Linked DNA regions of Schizosaccharomyces pombe. The gene in region 4 interacts genetically with the main gene of each other region. Each region holds a gene or a part of one and is shown on either strand. Other genes may lie near its edges. The genes, in order: gpa2, tom70, mph1 and sck2.

Region 1 (6,242 bases), 2.5 Mb from region 4:
AACTTTGCCTTAACATTACTTTTGCATGCATTTTCATTGTTGAAATGAGTATTAGAAGACTATTGGGAAGAGCATATGAGGTAAAAGCATAAATTTTTGAAGATTTTCTAATTTTTGGAATTATAAGATGATTTTTTATTTATTTTCGTACGGCCTTTGGATAAGCCAACAGCTTCGTTATAAGAAGTAGTAGTCATCAAGTCGAAGGTTATACGGTTACGCGGTTATGGACGAGAGTAAGCATTGGGTTATACGCTTACAACAAAAAATAAGAAAGCTAAAACTCTTGAAAAGAAATAAAAGCCACAGCGAAAGAACAGTAGCTGGAAAAACAGTTTCTTTCATCGTTTTCACAATAGATTAGAAAATCAGAAAGTCGGTTGTTCATGATCCACTTTTTTGCACACTGTAAATATAGATATTGGACATATTCTCAACCAACTGGCAAAAGAAAAAAATTAGGAAAAAACAAGATTACTCTATATTTTTTCCGTTGTCTTCTAATATTGACTTAGCTAATGATTGATTTATTCAATTATTTTCTTATAATAATTTTTTGAATTAAATTAACATAGTTTTATTTTAAACTGGGAAGCGCATCTTGCTCATAATTCAAATTATTGCCCTAAAACCAACATGAAACAGATCCGGCAAACTAGTTTCCACAATATATCGGGATATATCAAGATATGCAAGATATATAAGATACACATATATAAGAGATATAAGATACATATTCAATAATTGTCAAGGATACCTATAATCAAGCAAAAATTAAACTTACGCAAATAAGAATTTCATCTTTATAAAAAAAAAAAAACCATCAAAAAACAAAACAATATAAAAACCCTCCCACTACATGTGAATATCTTGGAAGACTTTTTTTTATAACTAGTACATGCTTTTATTAGTATGTAATGAATAAATGAACGAACAACAACGGATTGACTTCAGTACCACATAAACATTACGAAACCTAGCTAATTCTATCTCACCTGAAGATTATTTTATTTTAGCGGGGCAAATGCAGTCCTTCCCGAACCTCCAAGACTAAGTAACCAGCAAGTAACGGCATCAGGATATCTTACCATTCTTACCCATTAAATTTAAGGAACCGAATGAAATTAGGAACGATGAGCAGTTTAACAAAGTCCTCCTTATTTTTTTTGCGTTGAAATGTAGTTTGTAGTGTCAAGCTGCTTTGTGCTATTTATCGAGCAATGAGAAATAGGAGAGGAGTTATGGTAGCAGGGTATACTTAGTAATGTTTTCATGGACCAAGCGGGGGAGGGGCGAAAAGCATGTCTAGTTCGCTGTATTCAGTTTCAAGACCCCATTTCATGTTTAACATTTGTTCTAGATACGCAAAAATCCCTTTTTTCTAGATTGTTTGCAAGTCCCCATGTCTTCTTTTTTTTATACAGCTGAAAAATTTTCCGACTGTCAGGTAAAACTGGTCAGTTGCGAAAACATGCTTTGCTTCATCTTGGTACCCAATCGTCTATGGATTTTTTATATGTTTCTTTCTAGCTTTGTGATAGCTGCCCACGCTTTGCGATCAAGTTAGTTGCCTTATCCCTTGTGCACTTTACTTTCATATCTGAGTAAATAAGTCTCCGTAACTGGAATTGAACTTGGTAAAATTGGGGCTTGAAAATTTAAAATATTATGAAAGTGAACAAACTCAGATTGGGAAAACACTCATTAAACATTGCTTGGAAAGATTGCGCGTTTTTTGGAACACTTCCTTTGGTCATCTTTGCTATCCCGATTGCTTGCATCTTCAGCCATAAACAAGGGACGACTCATTGAGTTACTAGAGTAGTAATAGAGCAGTATAGTTTAGTAGTATAGAAATGCTGGACCAACCAGTTAATGACATATAAACATAAAACATAAAAAACTATTTTGATGAGCGGCGCTTCTCTATGCGATACTTACATAGAATGCAAAGCTCACACAGGTCTCAGCTTACTGCCTGCTCCCCTCGCCCAAGGTCATAATCGAAGAGTAAGACTTACACTCCAATCTTCTTTACTTGAATGATGCTTGTTTGGTGGTATGTGTTGGATCCTTTTCCAATGTTACATTTTCCGAACTGTCCTCTCTACCCCACTCGAAAAATTAAAATCGTAAATGGATGATGCATGACGTAGTGCCTCATAAATACAAATTATACCAGAGTTGCCGTCTGTCTTTTTCGAAATAGTATAGACGAAATCACCGCTCAGGTACCAATCTAACCATAGTTGTTAGCTACTTAAGCTGTTTGAAGCATCAAAACGCTTGCCCTTTTGCTGCTGCTTGTTGGATTTAGGGTAGTGTGAATTGAAAGTAAGGATTTAATTGTACACTCGGTTAGTTGGACAGTAGTAAGAATTGAGATATTTTGCCTCTAATTCTTCTTTCTTCCTTGTACAATTCTTAATTTTTTTCTCGTTCATCGAAAGACGACGAGAAATCAATTTTCACGAGTTTCTCATTTGTCGCTGCATCTCTTCAACTGATTTCAGCCTTTTCTTCTTGCCTTAATCAACCTTGGTATTCACTCGTACTCACTGTGTCAATTAGCTAGCCGGCTAGCTTCCGACCTGCGATCCTTCCTCATTCTCCTCCACCCCCTGCTTTTCGAGGCATCTGGTGAAACTCAAAAAAAAGTTGAAATTGCGATTTAAAGGTCGCCCATAAAGGGGGTTAATCAAACTTTGCGCGTATAGTTTAGTGACTGACTAATCAATATTTTGATTATTGATTCCTATTCTGTAATATCCCCTTTTGACACCCGCACCCTTGTTCCTACTTAATCATACTTGCTACCTCAACTTTTTTTTTAATACTTTTATTTATTTGCGTTTCACTTTTCTTTCTAACTTGCTCTCTTTCCATTTTATTATTTAATCTTTGCTTTAATTGGGAAAAGAACTGGATTGAAGGCTTTTCTTGGAAAGTCCTCGCCTCTCTGCTGCTACACCTTACCTACCTGCGTTTAACCTTCTTACTTTGTTTCATATTTATTTCTCCCATCTTATCCCAAAAACCCGCTAGCTGTCGGATTGAGAAGTTTGGTGTCCTACTACATCCCCGTATTTATATTCTGCAGTAGTGGATTAAAAAAAAATGACGATTTTTAATGGATTATCTGAAAGCGGTGAATCAAAAAAATTGAACAGCAAAATCGAAAAGCAGATTGAAAATGCCTCGAAGAAGGATAAAAAGATTTACAAAGTGTTGCTTTTAGGTACGTAAACTACTCAATGTTGTTGTTGTTGTTCAATAGTTATATATGCTTGGGCAGTCGAGCAAAAAAGCAGAAAAGATTGAGAAAAAAAATAAAGAAACGAAATGAGTGAAACTATTTACGAAACAGAGAAACTGTTTAAGAAATGACAGAAAATGGTTTGTCTAATTGCGTCTACGTTCTCTACTCTTGGTTACCCTTTCCCTTCAATACTCAGTCAGTGAAGGTGACTTTGATAACGTTCTTCTAGTTAACCACTTTTCGTCGTCGTTGCATGTTGTAATCAGTTGCTCTACACTCTTACCGTTTCTCTCCATTGCATAGCACAGATTTTTTGTTTGATTCCTATAGCAAATTTTCCTTCCTTTGTTTCTTACAATCGTCAGTCTAACCATTGTTTTCTAGGTGCCTCCGATAGTGGAAAAAGTACCATCAGTAAGCAAATCAAAATTCTCAACAAAAATGGGTTTAGTCAAGAAGAGATTATGACATTTATTCCGGTGATCCGACGAAACCTGTTGGAATCTGCTAAAACCCTTGTTAAAATTATCGTTCAAAAAGGTATCAACTTGGACCCTTTAGGAACCCACAATTGCGAGATAATCGAAAAATTTAATCCAACTCCTGGTGAGCTTATTAATGCTAATATTGGCCAAGCTATTACTAGTCTTTGGTCAGCCAATAGTGTTAGATCCTGTACATATGGAAATGATTCCGTACTCATTGACTCTGCCCCTTACTTTTTTTCGCGAGCCGATGAAATTTGCAGTCGGCATTATGTCCCTACAATAGATGACATTCTCCGGTCTAGAAATAGTACTCTGGGTATTTCGGAAATATCGTTCACATTGGATCATTTGCAAATTCGAATGTTCGACGTTGGTGGTCAAAGAACCGAACGAAGGAAATGGATTTATTGTTTTGAAAATGTGAATTCAATCATATTTTGTGTTTCCTTAAATGATTATGATAAAAAGCTTTATGAAAGAGCCGCCCCAGAACGCAATCGTTTGGTTGAAAGTATTTCTTTATTCGACTCTATTATAAACAGTCAGTGGTTTATGCATTCTTCTATCATTCTGTTTTTGAACAAATTTGATTTGTTTCGGAAGAAACTGGAACATGTTCCGTTCCAGGATTACTTCCCCCAATATGAAGGTAAAAATTCTGTTAAAAGTATTACCCGGTATATTCTTTGGTTATTTGTGAACCCTTCTATAAATCGGGCTAAGCATAATATATATCCTCACATTACCACCGCTGTAGACACATCTAACATAAAGGTTGTCTTTTCTGCCGTTAAGGAAACAATTCTACAACACAGTCTGAAAGAAGCGGGAATGTTTTAATTTTAATTTGAAGATAAAATTTACCCTACCATTATTCATATGTTAACAGAAGACCTCTTACTGTCTGCATATGTCTAGAGAGTTCTGAAGCCTCCTTGTAAGAATCGCTTCTTTTACATTCGTTTATTTTTTTTTTTTAATATTGTCCGGAGTTTATTACACATGTTCTTTAAAAATATTTTTCCAATATATACATTGGCTGCTGGAATCTGAAATCACCGATTTGTCTGTAAGGAAAAGGATCGATCTCCTTTTCAGTTGTCTCAGAACGTTCACAGATTGCTATTAAATAATCTCTTTAAGATGACCAAGTTATACAGTTCTAGTTGATATAAATATTTTGTCATTTTTGCGAATATCAATTTGCATTTAATTTTTTACTTTAAACGATGCTGCTGGCGAATGCTTTTAAAGTTATTGAATACTTTCTGTTGAACATAGTCTTAAGATTGAGAAAGTAGATCTCCAGTTTTGATTCGAACATCTATCTCTGCTTTCAGAACTATTGCTATCACTTAATGCTGCTATTTATGAGGGTCGTAGAAAATCCGTTTGAGTACTAAGAGACTTTGAGTGGATACATGATTTAATCGCTTTTGTTTTAGTATTTAGTTTTTAATTGTTAGACTACTTGTATAGACTATTTCACTGAATCATCAAAATTGTTGTCTCTCTTTGTTGGCACCAGAGACTGATACTTTTTACCGACTTTCAGTATCTTTTCTTTAATATATTAATTTACTAATCAAAAAAGCTATTGAACACGTGTATTTCTGCCATGTATAATAAAAAGCCGCACTGTTCTGTATACGTATCAATTTGATTAAATTAGATAGTAATACTACTACATAGATATTCGTTACCCACTTTTAGCTTCTACTTTAGTATATCCACCCATCTTTGTGTTACTGCAGGTTTATTTATTTCAATATTTATTTTGTAAAAACAATTAAGTACATTCGTTAACTAATTATGAGAATTATTGCACTTCCTTTGCCAAATCAAAGGGTATTCTTACATTGTTATCCTTCTGAATACCTTGCCAAAAAAGTTACTATTCACGACAAAATTATAAACAGAATTTACAAGTATTGGGACTCCTGGAGTGCTTCAAAAAGCTATACCAAACAAAAGGTTGTGTCTTTGGGAAACCGAATTTTGCATGCAACTCCTTATGAAGAAAATTTTTTAAGGGCGATTGCTCCTGTTAAGAAGCTAAATGATACAGAATTACACCAAACTTTGTATATTGAACATCCTCCAAATTTGGAATCAAGTACTATTTTAGCTGAGTTGAATCGGTCCAAACAATTACAAAAGACCCATACAAATTACCTTATTGGTAATATTATTGGATTACCATTGACTATACCTTTCATTCTCATACCTCTAATACCAAATATTCCGGGTTTTTATCTTTGTTATAGAGCATACTGCAATTTTCGTGCTATTCAAGGGTCTATTCAATTAGCTCGGGTAATGAGCATAGAAAACATTCAAATGCAGGAAAGTGAAAAACTAGAAAAAGCATTGAAGTTGTTTACAAATGGAGATGCTACACCATTAAACGCTCTCATAGGCCACCCGGATTTCGTGGACCGCTACAAACGTGCCGTTGCTCAGGAGCAACGGAAATCAAAAATAATCAAATAAGA
Region 2 (5,405 bases), 2.6 Mb from region 4:
TGAAGCAAACTAACGAACTTTTTTAGCGCTTTTATATAAGCAATACTACGAGTTGAAACGCGAATCCTCCATTACCCCTAAAAAAGCAAAAACAAAGGTCGACTTTAAGTTTCAAACTCCTACAAAACAGCGTGCTGAAACTGAAGCGAACGAGAGTCCTAAAGCGCCCCGAAATGATTATCTACAGGTTACTCCGAAAACTGTGGATAAAAGTCTTTTAGGTCCTACTCCACAGTTGTCACGTCGAGTACTTAACCTTCTTGAAGACATGTCTCCCATTGCAGATTCTCATGTGGATCAAATTTCGGATATAAAACATAACACTAGTGAAATTTCATCAACTATGATACCGACTACTCCATCAAAAAATCCCGAACCTGTGGCTCAACATACTCCCACCGTTCTTGAAACCCCCTCTTCATATCGCCTTCAAGTTTATACATCTCCTAACTTACTTCGAGTTAATGCGCCATGCCGAAAAAGTCTCAGTGAAATGCTTCGTGAGTTAAAAGATATTGAAGATGATTACGGATCAAATGAAGAGAAGATATTGCAGGAGTTTGAAAGCTTTAGTAGCTCATCTTCAGAAAGCCTTGTAGATAGAGACATATCACAACCTATGAAGAAAAAAATTAAACGACAAAATCGTCTTGTTAAATGTAAGGTTTTCTCCTGTTTGTACCTGAACTAACGTTTTAGTGCCCCCTTCAATGAATCTTTCCAAAAGTCATTTAGAAGGTCTTCCTGAAATAGACGAAGATGCGGAAAATGGCATTGACGACAATGAAGATACAACTGCTAGCAAAGATTCGTCACCATTTTTAGATCTGCAGAGTGAACGACAAAATAAAAAGATTATGAGAAACGGGCTTGTTATTGGAAAACAAGTAAGCCAGAATTATTCCTCTTACAAATTAAAAAAACGTAAATTTCGGCGTCACAGAAGCTAACATATAATTTGTCAATCGGAACTTTGCTGTTGTATTTAAAAAAACACATACTTTCTGATCTTCCTTAATAGGATATACACTTTTTCAATGAATGTTAAAGAGGTATATATATTTAATAAATCATGCATTCAATAAAACCTGGAAATAGATTTTGTGGGTTTTTGAGATTTAAATGAAATAATACATCATGAGTTTGTGGTATCCTGTTAAAAAAATTTTGGAAATATAAAAGTTTGAATGAATCATATATTTCTTGTTCTTAATCTTCGGGTAAAATCAAATTAGTTACTATCGAACGATAAACGTTTTATATTTTTACGTAGGCATTCGTCCAACATTAAATCTAAGACTGGAACGTTTTGATATACGAATATCATGAGGACGTAAGGAAAGAAGAAGTACAAAAAAAATCGAACCTTCAATATTGAAGCTGGCGAGAAAGACAAATAAAAAAACAGCTTCAAATAAGTTTGGATCTATTGAAATGAGGAATACATGAAAGCTGAATATCATCATTACTTTACATGGATTTGCATAGCTTATTCATCCTTAGGGGACAGCGATGCCAAATTTCCTCTTAACTAAATTTTTAGACAACCTAAACACCATACGTTGATGCTAAACTTCAAAACATGAATAGTCATTTCCAAATGTCATTTACAACTTAAGAAACCATGCTTTAAATAATAGATAGCTTATAAGATACAGGCAACAACTGTAATAGATTTTGGTCGCAACTCTTCAATTGTATTCAAAACATAGTTCAACCTACAATCAAGTTAACAAATCTTTTTAAAGACAAATAAAAGGGCTCTAGATAATCAGAATCCAAAAGAAGTGCATTGTGTAATTAACAAATACAGTCAATACGTTTCATTGTTTAAGGTAAACTTCTTTACTACGCTCTCTATATATTGTATTTTATACGGGGATAACATCAGCTCTTGTAGCTCAGTGGTAGAGCGCTTGCCTAGTAAGCAAGAGGCCCAGTGTTCAAGTCACTGCTGGAGCAGTTTTTTTTAAATTCCTACTTGATGCGGAATTGAGTAGAATTAATAAAACTAGCACCTGTGCAAATTATCACCATTTCATAATAATAGCTCCTATTAAACTGCTGTTCACCGTTTCTTTTTTTGTTTTCTATCACTTCGTAATCAAGTTTTAGTTCCTTAACCTTTGTCAATGAATGTGCTTTGCAGTTCGTTAGCAATGCAATAAGGTAGCATTCACTTTGCTGAAGTATAGTGGTCATGAATCGGTACCAACCTAGCCAAAACCAATACCATGTCTGGTATATCCAATGCAGAAAATGGTAAGGCAATTGTGTCTTCTGGAGTTTTAAATTCCGTTTCAGCATTTGTAAGGCGCCATAGGACATTTGTTTACACTATTGGTGCTGTTGCCGTTTTTGCTACAGTTGGGGGTGTTTATCATGTACAACAGAAAAAAGCTAGTCATAAACGTTCTAAAAAACTTAAGGCTCATCAAGATAAGGCTGAATCCAAAGTTAATGAAGGAAAAAATGAAGCTGCAAAGGTCGTAAAAGAAGAGGATCTTAAAAGCTCAGAAACTGGAAAGGATGTTGAAACAGCAGCCGCTGCTGCTGCTGCTGCAAAAAAGAAGAAGAAGAATAAAAAAAAGGTTAAAGCCAAGAAGGTCGGCGATTCTTCTGTCGATAAAATTGCTACTGAGGAATCGGTAAAATCTATGACGAAGGAGGAAAGGGCAAAATTGGCTGCCGAGTTAAAGACTCTTGGTAATAAGGCTTATGGACAAAAGGAATATGCTAATGCTATTGACTATTATACTCAGGCTATCACCTGCTCTCATGACCCTATTTTCTTCTCTAATCGTGCAGCCTGTTATGCAGCCATCGGTGATTTTGAGCAAGTAATTAAGGATACAAGTGAAGCTCTTTCACTTGATTCAAGCTATGTGAAAGCGTTAAATCGTCGTTCTGCTGCTTATGAGCAACTTGGTAAATTGGATGAAGCCCTTATGGATAGTACCGTTTCCTGCATTTTCGATGGCTTCGCTAATGAGAGTATGACTGCTACCGTTGAACGATTGTTAAAAAAGGTTGCTGAAAAGAAGTCGTCTGCTCTTTTAAAGGAACGTCCTCCTAAATTGCCAGCTGCCAGCTTTATCCAGACTTATCTCGATTCATTCCATGCTCAACCAAAACCTTTGTTTGATAATAAATTTGACGGTGATGCTGCTTTAGCAGAGGCTTATGAATATTTAGAAAAGGGTGAATATCAACTTTCGTACGATAAAGCAAAGGAATCCTGTCTGGGATCTTTCTCATCTCCTTCGGTTAATGCTCGCACTCATAATCTAGTTGGTACTTTTAAATTTGTATCTGGTGACTCTAAAGGTTCGATGGAAAATTTTAATGCAGCTATTAAATTAGATCGCAAGTTCATTCAACCATATATTCGTCTCTCAGCCGCTTATTTAGATGAAAATGATAATGAAAAAATGTGGAAGGTACTGAATGATGCAGAATCTGTTGATAAAACCGATTCGGATCTTTATTATCATCGTGCACAAGTTAGGTTTGTTTCTGGTGAGTTTGCAGAAGCCATTTCTGATTATCAAAAGTCTATTGCATTGGATGACTCTTTTATTTATAGCCATATCCAACTTGGAGTAGCTCAATATAAGACTCATGCAATTGCGGAATCAATGAAGACATTTGAAGATTGTAAAAAGAGGTTCCCTAATTCAAGCGAAGTTTATAATTACTTTGGTGAAATACTCTTAGATCAACAAAAGTTCGATGATGCTGTCAAGAACTTTGATCATGCAATTGAGCTTGAGAAGAGAGAACATCTAACAATTATGAGTGCAATGCCTTTGATTAATAAGGCTCTTGCTGTATTCCAATGGAAGAAAGATATATCTCAAGCTGAAAATCTTTGTCGACAGGCTCTATCGGCTGATCCCGAATGTGATATTGCAATTGCCAGTATGGCTCAATTCCTATTGCAACAAGGTAAAGCTCGTGAAGCCCTTGAATATTTCGAGAAATCTGCACAACTGGCTCGTACTGAAAGTGAAATGGTGAATGCGTTTTCATATGCTGAGGCTACTCGTACGCAAATTGCCTTGACTGAAAAGTACCCACAGTTGGTTGGTCGTTTAAGCAATCCTATGTAAACGAGATTGTATATGAGAATTACTGTTAGTCAAAATAAGCAGTTGGCGAAAACATTTTGAATGCTTTAAAAAGGTTCCAATTTTAATGTGGCTCGGAAATTTTTTGTTTGGATGACAGCAAGTGCTGAAAATCCTTAAACCAAACGAAGTTTTGTATACGGAACATGTTTGCTAATGTATTCTGGTTGACGGATTTTTGATTTTAACTTGATTCTTAGGGTTAGCAATAATGATATTTTGTTCGCTACTCCCTAAAATGTGAACTTATTATTTCTTTGTACTTCATGTTTAGTAGGTAGTGTATTTATTAACGACAGCAATAGCAATGAAATATTATACCCATTGAGATTCAACCATTACAGAATGTTATCATAATTTAGGACTCTAATTTAATATAAAATGGTAGGTGTCTATTAATTCTCTTTACCAAATAAGTTGAAATAGGCAGCTGAAGGTTTTTAGGAAAACAATATTTGGTTTCGTCATCAAGGGAGATGTAACCTAAGGGAGATATAACGCAGTAACGATTTCTCACAATCTTATATAGTGAAGAAAAAGGAATAGAAGAATATCCTATTAGAGAATAGCAAGCATCTTGAAGTGCACACCACTCTTCGCCATCGTCTTTCAAACAACAGAGGAATTTTATAATAATTACACTAAAATTGTTTTTCTTGAAGCAATTGCTTGAGAGGAAGAGTTGGTTAACGAAACTGAAGGTTCACTTATAAAACAGTGAACTTCGTGTTTTATCACTCAACGTAATCTTGACAATTCCCATGGAACTCACAAGACCGTTAGGTGATATCTCCTCATCAGCTACAGTTACCATTGAAAGTACGGAGGAATCCGCGTCAATAAGCCATGAAGAATCTGAGAATGTGCTCCATTTACAACCGGAACCAGTCAGAAGAGTTAGATGGACGGTAAGCACTGTAGATAATGAGCATATGAATAAAAAGAAATCGAAAGGTAAGTGAAGTTCTGGTGATTTTACGAAGAAGAGAATAGGCCTTGTTCCATCCTTTGGCAACAAGCACAACTTTCAGACTTATATTGATTTTAAAAATTGGACAGTATGAGTCTATTTATACATATCTACATTCTTTATCTTTGATTTATCAAAGCACTAGAGGCTTGATACACGAACATAGAAAATTAAAGGATTTAACATGATGTGATGCTAAATATTACTAGTGTGCTGTATCTTTCACAAACAGAGAAAGTTTGATGAAAGTTCATCCGATTCAGATAGTGATTCGGACTCGGATTCCTCTTGTTCCTCATGTTGCA
Region 3 (5,954 bases), on a different chromosome or scaffold from region 4:
CTACGGGATACTCAAATTGCAAAGATTAGTTCGGTTTGAGTCTTTGCAATTATACTTCACAGACTCTTTGCCAATAAACTAATAGCACTAAGGTCATCAAGCAATATAGAAGAACTGTCAAAACATTTTGAGAAATGAATCTCTTTCGAACGAACATATTGCACGAATCAGCAGTGTCAGTCGTCTGAATATTTAGCGATACAACAACTTTGTCTGTTCAATCTCATGTGCCTGTATAGTCCCTTAAGCTTTTTTTTGTAGTAAAAAAAACTAAACTATTCTTTCTGTTTAATTCAGAAGCTCTCCAATGTCAAGAAACCCAATGCGCCTTTAAGTGTGAATAGCTACAGCAATCAGCAAGTCAAAGCAAAACGCATTCTTGTCTTTAAAAGAATTTATTTTAATCAATATAACAGTTGAGTTTGGGAATAATTCTAGAGAATGAAGATGTTGTTAGCAATCCTCTTTTCCTAAAACACCCTAACCTACTCCATTTCGTTGAAAAAATAAACCACTTCCCCAATTCTATGATTTTGGGATTTTTTTTGGGACTATATTAGAGAATTTCTTGTTTTATATATATCAACAGGAGCTCATTAACGTCAACACTTGAAAACAAAAAGTATTTGTCAATTATAATTATCACGAGGTTCATTATTGATTTTTCCCGAATAAGATTATCTCCAACCAAGAAAACGGAATCTTTGAATCTAAAAAAACACATTCTTTACGTTTCTTAACATTCCTCGGCATAAATTGTTCTCTTTTGAAAAAATCGTTAGCAAAAGAGTTGCTGAATCGCAAACAAGCTACGAAAATTGCATTATCTTAAAAGAAATTGTGTAAATAACAATTTATAAAGTATTTCGGGACTTTATGAGGCCGACACATTGGTCGAGTAATCAGTGCGAAGTGGATTTTACAGCTGAAGCTCTCACAACCCTTTCTTTGTCAAACCGGAATCATGAGGAAGATCCAATTCAACCTGTGTTAAAAAATTCCAATTTATTTCTCTTGAACAGAGACATATGGTCCTTGATCATTAATTATCTTGATGCATTCGATATATTACGCCTGATGCATTCAAGTAGGCAGTTTTACTATTGGCTTCGTAAATCAGCTGTCGATGAATGCTGTTTTAATAACAATTTTCTTAATTTACAACCTTATCAACGTACAGTTCCTGTTGCCAGTGATTTAGAATGGGCTACTGAAGTTGATCTCTACGGAAACCCACCAATTTTAAAACTCCAACTTCGCGATTCATTTGTCTGGTCAATGCTTGCCAAATTCCAGGGACTTCAGACCATTGCTTTAGACGGAACAGGTGTTACCATTTCTAGTGTAACGAATATCTTGCTGAACATTCCTACCGTTAAAACCTTGAGTATAAGATGGTGTGTTGGTGTTTGCTCTCTATCTCTCATTGAGTTTCTACAAAATTCTAAAAGCAGGACATTTTCATTGGAAAATCTATACGTCCTTGGTGTTAAAGGATTAGAATTACTAAAACCTGTTTTGCTTGATGGCTCTGAGGATGACACATTAACAAGCAATTGGCATAGTCGAGTAATTTTATTTCAAAATGCTTTAGACGCTTTACCAACTACTCATGGTAACCCAGTCGAATGCGATATTTCACGTTGCCCTTTGAATGCATGCAAAATTGCAGGTCAGGAAACTGAGCTTGCCGATCTTTTTTCTTTGCAAAAAGTCCCTGCTTGTATCTATTGCTTAAGGGAATGGAAGAAGCCGATTTGTCGTTATTGCATAGATTTAAGAAGTTGTTTGGTTTGCGATTCATTTGTCTGTCCTTCCTGCATATCGTTGGATTTTGATTTGCAAATACAAGCATTTGCTCGTCAACACCGTGTAATATCTACTTTAGGTGTTGTTTATCCTGAAAGAGAAGACTCTTGTTTCCATAAGATCAAGGCCGCCCAATGGCATCAGATCAGTCCTAGAAGTCTTTTGTTCCAATTCCAAGAGCAGAACCATATTCACCACAAAAAGATTCGCAGGAAGCTGTTAGCGGCTGGATGGAAATGGCCTCAATCACAGATATAGTAAGGGCAAGGCGACCTAGGTGAAAAAACTTTTTACTTTCACAACTCTTCTTTTTCTTTCATGACTAGTCTAATAATGATCTTATGCCATTCTTACTCAGAATTTTCGTTTTCATAACCATGCGAAACTCGTAAAATAATGATATACACTGAAGTAGCTAGCATTGCGTTAGAGGGTGATCTTTGTAGTAACATAACATTTTGAAATGTGCACACTAATGGTTGCTCTGCTGTTCGTCTTTTCTAGCTATTCTTATAACGAAGTAAAAATTTATTGATTAACGCTTAACAAACAGTTGGAAATTCGGTTTGGAATGCTCGTTTTTTAGTAACTGTGTTTATGTCTAAGCGCAATCCTCCTGTGACTAATATCGCGGACTTGGTGTCAGATTCTTCCTTAGATGAAGACTCGCTTTCTTTTCTCGAAGAGCTTCAGGATCCAGAATTATACTTCAAAAATGACACTTTCTCTTCCAAGAGTAGCCATTCTGATGGCACCGTTACTGGGGATACGTTGCGTAGGCAGTCAAGCGGTGCAACTGCTTTAGAGAGATTGGTCTCACATCCTCGTACTAAAAATTTTGATTTGCAAGGAAATGGAGGACAAAATTCTGCTTTGAAGGAAGTGAATACTCCAGCATATCAGTCAATGCACCATTTCGAGCATTTAATAACACCCTTGCCCTCTACTAATGCGTCTCACAGTGAAGTTTCACTCAGTGCAGGAGTGAATGATCTCAATTCTAATTCGGAGCATGATTTGTTACCTAAAAGTGTAAACAAAACCCCCGGTTCTTTATCAATTTCAAGACGACGAAGAATCGGCAGAATTGGATTAGGCCCTCCAAAGCGTGCTGAGTACACGTTGACGGATCCCTCGAAGACTTCCGATACCAAAAACTCTACAGAAGCAGATGAGGATATTGAAATGAAATCTCGAGAAGTATCACCAGCTTCCAACTCTGTTGCTGCAACAACTTTAAAACCTCTGCAGCTGCATAACACTCCTTTGCAAACATCCCAGGAGCATCCCAAACCTTCTTTTCATCCTTCTCAGTTTGAGAGCTCTTTTTCTCCTAGGGTGCAGTTTGATCACGATGTTGAAAGAAGAGCTAGTGAACTTCATTCTCGTCCAGTCACCGTTTTCCAAGAGCCTCAGCGTTCTGCTTCTCAACCATATGAATCTCATGCTCTTTCTCCAAAGGTGGCTCCGTTATTTGATAACAGTCAAGCTACTCCCATACCCAAGCGTCAGCAGGACGTTGTTACTGTTGCCAATCTACAATTTATCAAATTAGGAGTTGTTGGAAAGGGTGGAAGTAGTATGGTATATCGCATATTTTCCCCCGATAACAGTCGTTTATACGCTTTGAAAGAGGTGAACTTTATTAATGCAGACCAAACTACTATACAAGGATACAAGAACGAAATTGCATTATTAAGAAAGCTTTCAGGCAATGATCGCATAATTAAATTATATGCTGCCGAAGTTAATGATACTTTAGGGCAACTCAATATGGTGATGGAATGCGGAGAAACGGATTTAGCAAACCTTTTAATGAAAAACATGAAGAAACCCATTAATCTTAATTTCATCAGAATGTATTGGGAGCAAATGCTAGAGGCGGTCCAGGTAGTTCATGATCAAAATATAGTGCATTCGGATTTGAAGCCGGCCAATTTCCTGCTTGTAGAAGGGAATTTGAAGCTGATTGATTTTGGCATTGCCAAAGCAATTGGTAATGACACCACTAATATCCATCGTGATTCCCACATCGGTACTATTAATTATATGGCACCTGAAGCTTTGACAGACATGAATGCTCACACAAACTCTGGCGTGAAACTCGTAAAGTTGGGCAGGCCCAGCGACGTGTGGAGTTTGGGATGTATATTATATCAGATGGTGTATGGGAGGGCCCCGTTTGCTCATCTAAAAATGATCCAAGCTATAGCAGCTATCCCTAATGAACAATATCACATTCATTTCCCCGAAGTTGCCTTACCTGCTAATGCTGTCCAGGAGAAAGAGGGATCGTTGCCAGGTGTAACTGTCGGGCCTGATCTAATGGATGTTATGAAAAGATGCCTGGAAAGGGATCAACGGAAGAGACTTACAATACCGGAATTGCTGGTTCATCCCTTTTTAAACCCTTTGCCATCCTATTTGACACCTTTGGCCAAAAAGCCGTTACCTGTTTCTGGGCACACCAATAATGCTCATCCACTTAGACTCAGCACAGAAATCTCAGCTTCTCAATTATCAATGATTATAGAAAGGTCGGTGGAGTTGAGTAAGCACAAGCGATTAAATAAGGAACTTATTGATAGCATGGCTTATGATTGCGTTAGCAATTTACGAAAAATGCCAGAATAGAGGCACTAAATTTTCCGATTATTCTTAAAAAGGTTTTATCTTTTACAAAGTTTCCCAAACATCATACGAGTTTCTTAATGTTAACGACTTTTTTAGGGAGCTTAAAGGCTTTTTTTTTTTAATCTTTAATTTTTCGCTCTTTTAAAAGAAGGTAATTATGACCTTGATTAATGAACCACATATTATATGGCCCCTGATATCTATACTTTGATACTATGTAAATATAAAGAACGCTATACTCCCAAACGCTATAAGTTGTTTGTTTACGATATAATACCTTTTTGTGTTTGTTTTTTTTAGGTAAAGCAACCAAATGAATGATGCTTTTTTATAAGAAACTTTTTTAATATAATTGGGTTATATTAGACATTAAAAAAAAACCCCATAACTAATGTAAAACAAAAACCTTTAAAAATAATGTACCGCCGGTAGAGATGATTATTAACGCCATAAATGTTGGTGCAGGAAGGGAATAAAACAGGTTCAATGGAATATCGATAATCCTAAAAAAACTTGTGAAAAAATCTAAGTTAAATCTAATCACTATCCAAAAATTTATTGGCAGAAGCACCCAGATACAGGCGTAGAGTGTTAGGGGAGCAATTTACCAATTTGCAGCGAACCTTTTTGCGCCCTGCTTCATCGTGAGCACGTAGTCGATGACAGCCCCCAAAGGCAAAATAATAAGGCTTCCCACTCTTTTTAAACGTTAAAACATCAACAGGAGGAAGCTCACCAGCTTCCAAATCTTCTGAAGTCAAACCGCATGAAGCTGGAGGAGTTTTCCCTGTCATGGTTTCCATCATACTATTGACTTTGTTCATATCTAAAACAGGAGGTATAGGACGAATTAACTCAGACATATCAAGCTCAACAATGTTGTTATTTGAGCCAGTGTGAATCGAAGTCATGATGGTTAAAAATGAATGAAAGAAAGAATATAAAAAAGATAAAGTGAACAGAAATTTTTATAAATAGAACAGAAAATTATAAAAAAAGGCAAGTTAATAAGAATGGAAAAGTGGATATTGATATCGAGTATATTTACTCCTTGATCTGATATCGTTTCCTGTTGTACTAATGATCTGCCCCACAACCTATCTTATCCCGGTATGTATATAATAATTTACAAATATGACATCATTATCAAAGATGAATCGATACTTAAAATCTTATGTAAAAATTTGTCAGCATGTTAGCGAAACACGTTAAACCGACTAGGACAAAGCAACGTGGTTACGTTACGAGGTCTGGGTTTGTGTTCTTAGTAAGGTAGTTGGAGTAGCTTATTCATTAAATGTAGATGGCAATAAAACACTATTGCAAAGATGTCAAAGTGTAGAATGATGCTACCTAAATAGAATTTCAAGCACAAATACTTAGGTATAAATAACTTGGAGTCGACGGAGAACTGTAAATGCACGAGTACATTCAAAAATGTGTAAACAAAAGGTTCACTTTCTGAAAACGCTTTCTAAAATGTGACAGAGATAACCGACACAAGATCATTA
Region 4 (6,621 bases):
AACAGAAAAAAATTTTTCCTCTTTCAAAATCAATCATCTTCCTCAACCAAGTCTGTATAACGTTTTTGCATTCCTTTATTATAAAAAAAACATACCTTACGAGGATTGCGCTTCATTTTGAAGTTCTTATGGCACTTGCTGCGACAGAAACGAAAGACCTTGGAGTCATTTCTAACAAACATTATTCCATGTCCTGGGTAAACAGGACCCGAGCAGAAATAGCAAGTATGTACCCTAAATTTCCGTTAGTAATAAATACTTTGAAGGCATTTAGCTCTACAAACCTCATATTCCCCCTAAATTCTTTCCCGTCCTTGTATGTTCAAGTTGGCTAAGAGCAGGTAAAAATTCGCGCTCCCTACAACGCACATATTTGAGATGCGAGCTTCTACTTAAGCTGCGTTTTGCGAATTCCAAATATGCCTTATCTAATTTATGATATATCGTTAGGTTGCGTTATTTAATGAAATACCATCTCGGTGAAGTTTCGAGTGAATGGTCTCGGACGCAATCTTAGGAACCTATTAATAATAAATTTTATCTTCAATTTTTGTTAACTCATATCGCTTCTTTATCAAAGGCGTGTCTACGCCAAAAAAAATAAATACATAATATTACCGAGGTTAATTGCTTTTAAAAACACAATCCCTCTATGCATATGCAGTTTACTGGATTGCAATAGGATACATAGACGCACGATCTTAAAAGGTATTTTACAGTATTCACGATATTTGAGCTTTTGAAAAAACGATCCCGCCAGGAGTCGAACCTGGAATCTCTTGATCCGTAGTCAAGCGCCTTAACCATTGGGCCACGAGACCTTGTTATCATTACAAATAAAATATACTATTTATTATACAAGTGTGTTTTACTTAGTCAAATTGAATAAGTCTAGTATTACAAAACAAGAAGAGTCTTTAGTTTTCAAGTGATTTTTGAGAAAATGTAATTGTTTTTTTTTTTTTCCTTTTTTTATTAAATTTTATCTATTTTTCGTACTTACCGATATTTTTTACTTCGTTTTAAATTTTTTAGTTTAGTTATTTACCTTTTCTCCATCAAGACCATACATGATAACAATATTATGTGTACCATAAGTTAAAGAATATTTATTATAATTACTTTTTTTAATAAAATGAATGTACAGGTTATTTTTTTACATATTTAGTTTTTATAAACATTATATCGAATATTTGTGGCAAAGACCCACAAGACAAATGAATGAAGAGAATCACAAGTAAAATAAAAATCGATAAACTGGTTTCCAAAACCATAGTTAAAAAATTTTTATGTCATTATCGTTATATCTAAAACAAATTATCGTATACGACAGTATCCAAATACATCTTCATCTGAAGATCTATTACAAAACGACCCTCAAGGAGGGCATCAATAATACTGCTATTGTACTTTGTCTTTTCTTTTTTTTAAATTCCTTTGCGTTTAAAAGAATATGTCTTTAACTAGATTCTAACATACACCATTATACATTCGTAAAACTGAACTTCAACCTAACTGAATAAACGTCTATCCAGCAAAAGAGAAAAATAAAAAAAAAATAAGGAGAGGAACAAAATCGAAGACATTACAATTGGAGATAGAATAGCCTTAAGCAAGATGACAATTACTTAGTAAAGCAAAATACCTTACTACTAATGTCAGCCAATTCAACGAATTTTGGAATTGTGTAATTACCACTGTACACAATTAAGTCATAGTTCGGAACCAAAAAAACTAAGCACAATTTGTTCCAAAATTAGTTGATTCAACGCCATACAAGCCCAACATTACACCAAAAAAGCCTGGTGAACGTAGATTAAAATATAGAAATAATAGATCCTTTGATCATTAAGTATTCCCTTAATATGCACCGAAAAAAAATGAACTTCACCCGAACCTGCTTCCACATAAACAGGCATCTTAATAACAATCCTAAAAAATCATTCTTAGAAGGGAAATAAAAAAAAATTAAAACGATACGCTTCAATGATTAAGCGCTGATTAAATTAAAACATTATTTACCTGTCCTTCAAAATACATGTTGAAATTTTGCTGGACAACTAGTAAATAAGAAAATAGTACAACGATTGAAAGCGTGTACAAAAAGATACTCTCGGGTTCAGGGATCCAGCCTAGAAAAAATATGGGCATAAGATTCTCAATGCAGTGATACATTCGTGGAGACCAAACGTATTATGGATCTATTTGTCCCATAAATACCTCATCGTTCGCACGATTTAAGTCCATATCGGAATTGTCCTTAGAATAATCATCTTGACTGGAAATACTAGAAGCAGAATCATTTGAGTTGTGGTATCCGAATGCTTCATCCATAGCACTTGCGTCAATATAGGTAAAACCCTTAAACCCATTTTGGACAGTTGATGATAAAGGTGCAGAGGTCGACATTTCATCTGTGCTACTAAAGTCTCTATCGATTGCTTTATTTGTAAACTCGACATCAAAATTAGAAACATCTATTTCACCTTCCACTATTGGTTTAAATGGTGGACTAATTTCTTTCGCAGCGAGTTTCTTCCAATCAATTCCATCAAAAAATGGATGCTTCATTACCTCTTCAACATCCCCATGTGCACCAAGCCTATGCTTTGGATTACGATTCAATAATAGCTTAATCAAATCTCTGGCTTCTACAGATAGCAACCCTCTAGGAAAACGGACTTTACCAAACACGATATTCTTGTAAAGTTGTTGTGTGTTATCAGCGTAGAAAGGGCTCCAGCCACATGTCATCTCGTACAAAAGTACCCCTAAAGACCAGAAGTCAACCATCATATCATACCCTGCTTCGTCTAAAATAACCTCAGGAGCTAGATAATCCGTGGTACCGCAAAACGTACGTGTAGTAGTCCCCACTGAAAGATTGGCCTTTGACAAACCGAAATCACATAAGGCAATATGTCCTTGAACGTCCAAAAGAATGTTTTCAGGTTTCAAATCCCGATATACAATTCCTCGTTTATGCAACGCTTGCAAAGCAAGCAACAATTCGGCAATATAGAATTTTGCCCTTTCTTCTGGAAATCGTACCGATTTTTGAAGGTGCCAAAATAATTCGCCTCCAGCCATATAATCTGTCACCAAATATAAATCTTTGGGGGTCTGAAAAGAGAAACGTAAAGCAACGATGAAGGGCGAATCAGCTGCAGAAGTTTGGACGAGAATGTCTCTTTCCCCAACAGTGTGTGCAACTTCTTTGCGACGGACTATTACTTTTTTGGAAAGTACTTTCATTGCGTATACGCGCTCGGTGTCTTTTTTACGAACAAGATAGACTTGACCAAATGTACCTTTTCCAATTAATTTCAACGGAACGAAGTCATCAGGGCCGTAGGAGTGTTGACTGAGAGGCTGGAAAACAGTATTGAGAGAAAGACGAAGATCAACCATACGGTTGTATGCGGGAGAAACTTCAACGCTGTTGCAAAACTGTTCAAATTGACCATAATTATAAGACGGGTGAATGTAAGTTCTCCCAACAAATTCATTATTATTACCATGGTCATAAATATTAACATCGATGGGGACCGGTTTAGCAACATCAAATACAACATAAGATGGAGTTAAGGGATTTGGAATTGAAGACGTACGTTGAATTGCAGGAGTAGGAATGGGATGAGAGCTCATCATAGATGAACTCCTACTCACATTAGCAGAATCCCGACTAGATGTGCCTATATCACGGCCAGGTGATTCCCATTTCAATGGAGGTGAAACAAACTCCGTCGTACCAAATTGAACAACAACAAACAACTGATTAAGTCTTGAGCATTCCATGGCTAATGCTGCATCAGTATGAGGTCCTCCCAAAACTAATGAACCTATTTGAAGTTTCAAATAGCCTGAAGGTTCATGGTCAACTTCAGGTAATATATCATTACTATTTCTGTTACCAACCGTAGACTGGTCACTGGCGAATTCTTCCATGGGATGGTCTATCGAGGAAGGACCTAAATTTGAAACTGAAGGAAGTGAACCACCTTCACCTTCCTCAACTGGTTGATTGGTTTGGATGCTTGCCAAAGGACTTCGGGGAAGTGACCCTTTAGCAGAATTGGTGGAAACCGATTTTTTAGACAGCCCGAACCAATTTTTTGCCCACTTATTCATCATTTTATAATCACTCAAAAAACCAATTTATGTACGATTATTGTAAAAGAAAATACGAACACAAAATGTCACTGTTGGATTAATTGCTTGTAGATGCAAAAAGGGATTTTCTTTCTTTCAAGCAAGAAGAGGTATGAAAATGAATTCAAAAGGTACTTGTTTGACTGATATAATCACGACTTAATACCTGCATAAAATTTAATGATGTAAAGTCTCAAGTAATAATTCACCTCAGTTGGATATAATCCTGATAAGAAAAACTATTAATCAACACTAAAATTTTCCTACCAAATTTCTTTGTTATATCACGAATACTGTAATCAATATGAAGATACCCCATTAACCAATGTCAACTACAATATTGTGCAAAGAAACAACCCCTAGTAGAAGAAGGAACAAAGGATTATAACACAAAATTATAAATGAAAAGAAAAAAATTCCAAGTTCTAATATACAATTACTGTTTGCGCCTAATTTTTCAATTTGATGGTAAAGGGTAAATTGAAGTGGGTTGCAGTACCTAATCTTACTTTAAAATTTGGTATGTCAATATACGGAAGTGCGAAAGGATTCTTTAACCCGGATTTAACTACGCCAAATTGTTTGCTAACTTAGAAATGCAGTTAATTTAGACAGTATGCTTTAATAGTATATTATAATTGCAAGGGTTTCTAGTGGGTATGATAAATCATATAGATCACATAAAATATTTTTAATGCATTAATATAGCTAATCTAGCTAACAAAAAAATTACCAAATTTACGAACCATGGTGAATGTGGTGATTTTAATACAATATTGAAAGTTAAAAAAGCCAACCAGCAGTATGGTTCAAGTGTGGAAGCTCCGTAGCTGTATTCGAAAAAAATGAAAAGAGAAAACGAATAGCCACTTACTAGTAAATTCCGTTCGTAATATTTTGAAACAGATCATAAAGTCTCGTCCAAACACTACAATTTGCCTTTTGAATCAACAAATCCACAAAGTCATCACATTCTTTGTCACCAAGCTGTAGTTGAAAACGTTGCAAAAGTTGTGCACTTGTGTTTTCACCAGCACGAAAGCAAGGCATTGTGGAATTATTTTGCATAACTTCAACAAGCAAAATGATCTGATCAGCGTTTTTTCGAACAGATTTAAACGCAGCTTTCATCAAGGAACGATATTCATCAAACCGGTCGTCAAGGATTTCTAAATAATCCGCCGTAAGCTTAAATGGAGCGCTTTCAAAGCCAACATTCCCCGGTGTATTCGTAAGTAAAAAGCCAAAATCAATATGTATAATATGACCTTCACTATCAATAAGAACGTTACCATTATGTCTATCCTTTAACTGTAGTAAGTATGATATAATGCTATATGCCACTAATGATTGAAGGAAATTTGTCTGTGCCTGTCGATACCGGCTGCTGTTGGGATCACCAAACTGCTTTATAAAATAATCCTTCAATGTAACAACATTTTTACCAGCAATTTTTCCTTGGGCTAGTTCAGCTTCCCGAAGCTGTTTCGTCAAATTCTTTTTAATAGAGTGAACACTAATGGCATTTGTAATCGTTTCTATTAAGCCACTATTGTCGCCGGTCACTAAAATTTTCATCCTTCGAACCCAAACCTTTTCTTTACACTCTAGCCAAACACGCTGAAACGCGTATATAAGTTGACAGGCAAATGTCTCTTGCCGGAGATCCGCACCCGTTTTAACAATCACACTGACCAAATCCCAATTGGGATAATGACCATAAGGAGAAGACTTTCTTATCCTTTCCTTCTTGGCATACCAATCTTCTTGGAATGTAGCGGCACTGGGATCATCTCTATCACCTTTCCGTTCTGCCTTTTGAGTTTCTTTGCCAAATCGCAGATCTTCTGCGCATGATATGTCGACTGAAACAGGATAAATGGATGGTTCATTAAGGCGCTCTTCTTCGAGTCTTTGCATGTCAAGAATAATGCTATTTTTTATTCGTTCAGTCTCAGCTTTGGGACGTCTGCTACCTTCAGCATCAAGCTGACTTAGCATAGTTGCCGCAGCTCGCATTCTCGCTGTTATTTCTGAAGCATAGATTTTACTTCTTTTTAAGGCGCCATTTCCATCAGAATCAGAGTGGCGCCCAGATAACAGGACGACATCGGTATCTCTATGAGAGGACGGTACCTGCAAAGATACATTACCAAACGAAGAGAATGACTTACTCAAAGAAAGAGTGTCCGGTACCAACCCTTTTATCAGAGGAGACATACTTAAATCCCCTCCCTCACTTTCCGACTCTGAAATATCATTGTCGGTACTGTCTTGAAGGTTCGTATAAGGATCGACATCTGTGAGGTCAAACCACCTTTTTCTTTGGTTTTTATGAGAGACAATCTTTTGCACCTTAGCCTTATTTTTCTTCGATTGTGGCTCGAAGCTGAGTTCACCAGATAGGACCTCAACCATAATAAGATAAGGTACTCGTTCGGCAGAATTGAGTATGGTAGCCTCTTTAGG

The links.
Region 1: mutations in sck2 (region 4) and gpa2 together harm fitness more than expected from each alone (negative genetic interaction), as found in Schizosaccharomyces pombe (2 studies listed by BioGRID).
Region 2: mutations in sck2 (region 4) and tom70 together harm fitness less than expected from each alone (positive genetic interaction), as found in Schizosaccharomyces pombe (2 studies listed by BioGRID).
Region 3: mutations in sck2 (region 4) and mph1 together harm fitness more than expected from each alone (negative genetic interaction), as found in Schizosaccharomyces pombe (2 studies listed by BioGRID).

What each region holds. Positions count from the first base shown.
Region 1 is NC_003424.3:2,515,191-2,521,432, reverse strand, and holds gpa2 (heterotrimeric G protein alpha-2 subunit Gpa2), read left to right. Parts: upstream 1-2,193; 5' UTR 2,194-3,117; coding exon 3,118-3,238; intron 3,239-3,401; exon of another isoform or gene 3,402-3,643; coding exon 3,644-4,587; 3' UTR 4,588-5,380; downstream 5,381-6,242. Other genes in the region: SPOM_SPAC23H3.12C (hydrogen/potassium transport protein), read left to right, coding at 5,560-6,240. UniProt on the Schizosaccharomyces pombe protein: Alpha subunit of the heterotrimeric guanine nucleotide-binding protein (G protein) involved in glucose-induced cAMP signaling.
Region 2 is NC_003424.3:2,431,158-2,436,562, forward strand, and holds tom70 (TOM complex subunit Tom70), read left to right. Parts: upstream 1-2,222; 5' UTR 2,223-2,234; coding exon 2,235-4,112; 3' UTR 4,113-4,466; downstream 4,467-5,405. Other genes in the region: drc1 (DNA replication preinitiation complex assembly protein), read left to right, coding at 27-659, 700-950; SPOM_SPAC6B12.13 (protein phosphatase inhibitor), read left to right, coding at 4,892-5,084, 5,310-5,405.
Region 3 is NC_003423.3:371,483-377,436, forward strand, and holds mph1 (dual-specificity protein kinase Mph1), read left to right. Parts: upstream 1-2,311; 5' UTR 2,312-2,406; coding exon 2,407-4,443; 3' UTR 4,444-4,810; downstream 4,811-5,954. Other genes in the region: F-box protein Pof13, read left to right, coding at 877-2,067; srx1 (sulfiredoxin), read right to left, coding at 4,980-5,354. UniProt on the Schizosaccharomyces pombe protein: Involved in mitotic spindle assembly checkpoint signaling, a process that delays anaphase until chromosomes are bioriented on the spindle, and in the repair of incorrect mitotic kinetochore-spindle microtubule attachments.
Region 4 is NC_003424.3:5,044,384-5,051,004, forward strand, and holds sck2 (serine/threonine protein kinase S6K family Sck2), read right to left. Parts: upstream 4,630-6,621; 5' UTR 4,135-4,629; coding exon 2,194-4,134; 3' UTR 1,233-2,193; downstream 1-1,232. Other genes in the region: ribosome biogenesis protein rlp24, read right to left, coding at 96-234, 285-289; Golgi-specific 1-phosphatidylinositol 4-kinase, type III-beta Pik1, read right to left, coding at 5,026-6,621. UniProt on the Schizosaccharomyces pombe protein: Protein kinase that is part of growth control pathway which is at least partially redundant with the cAMP pathway.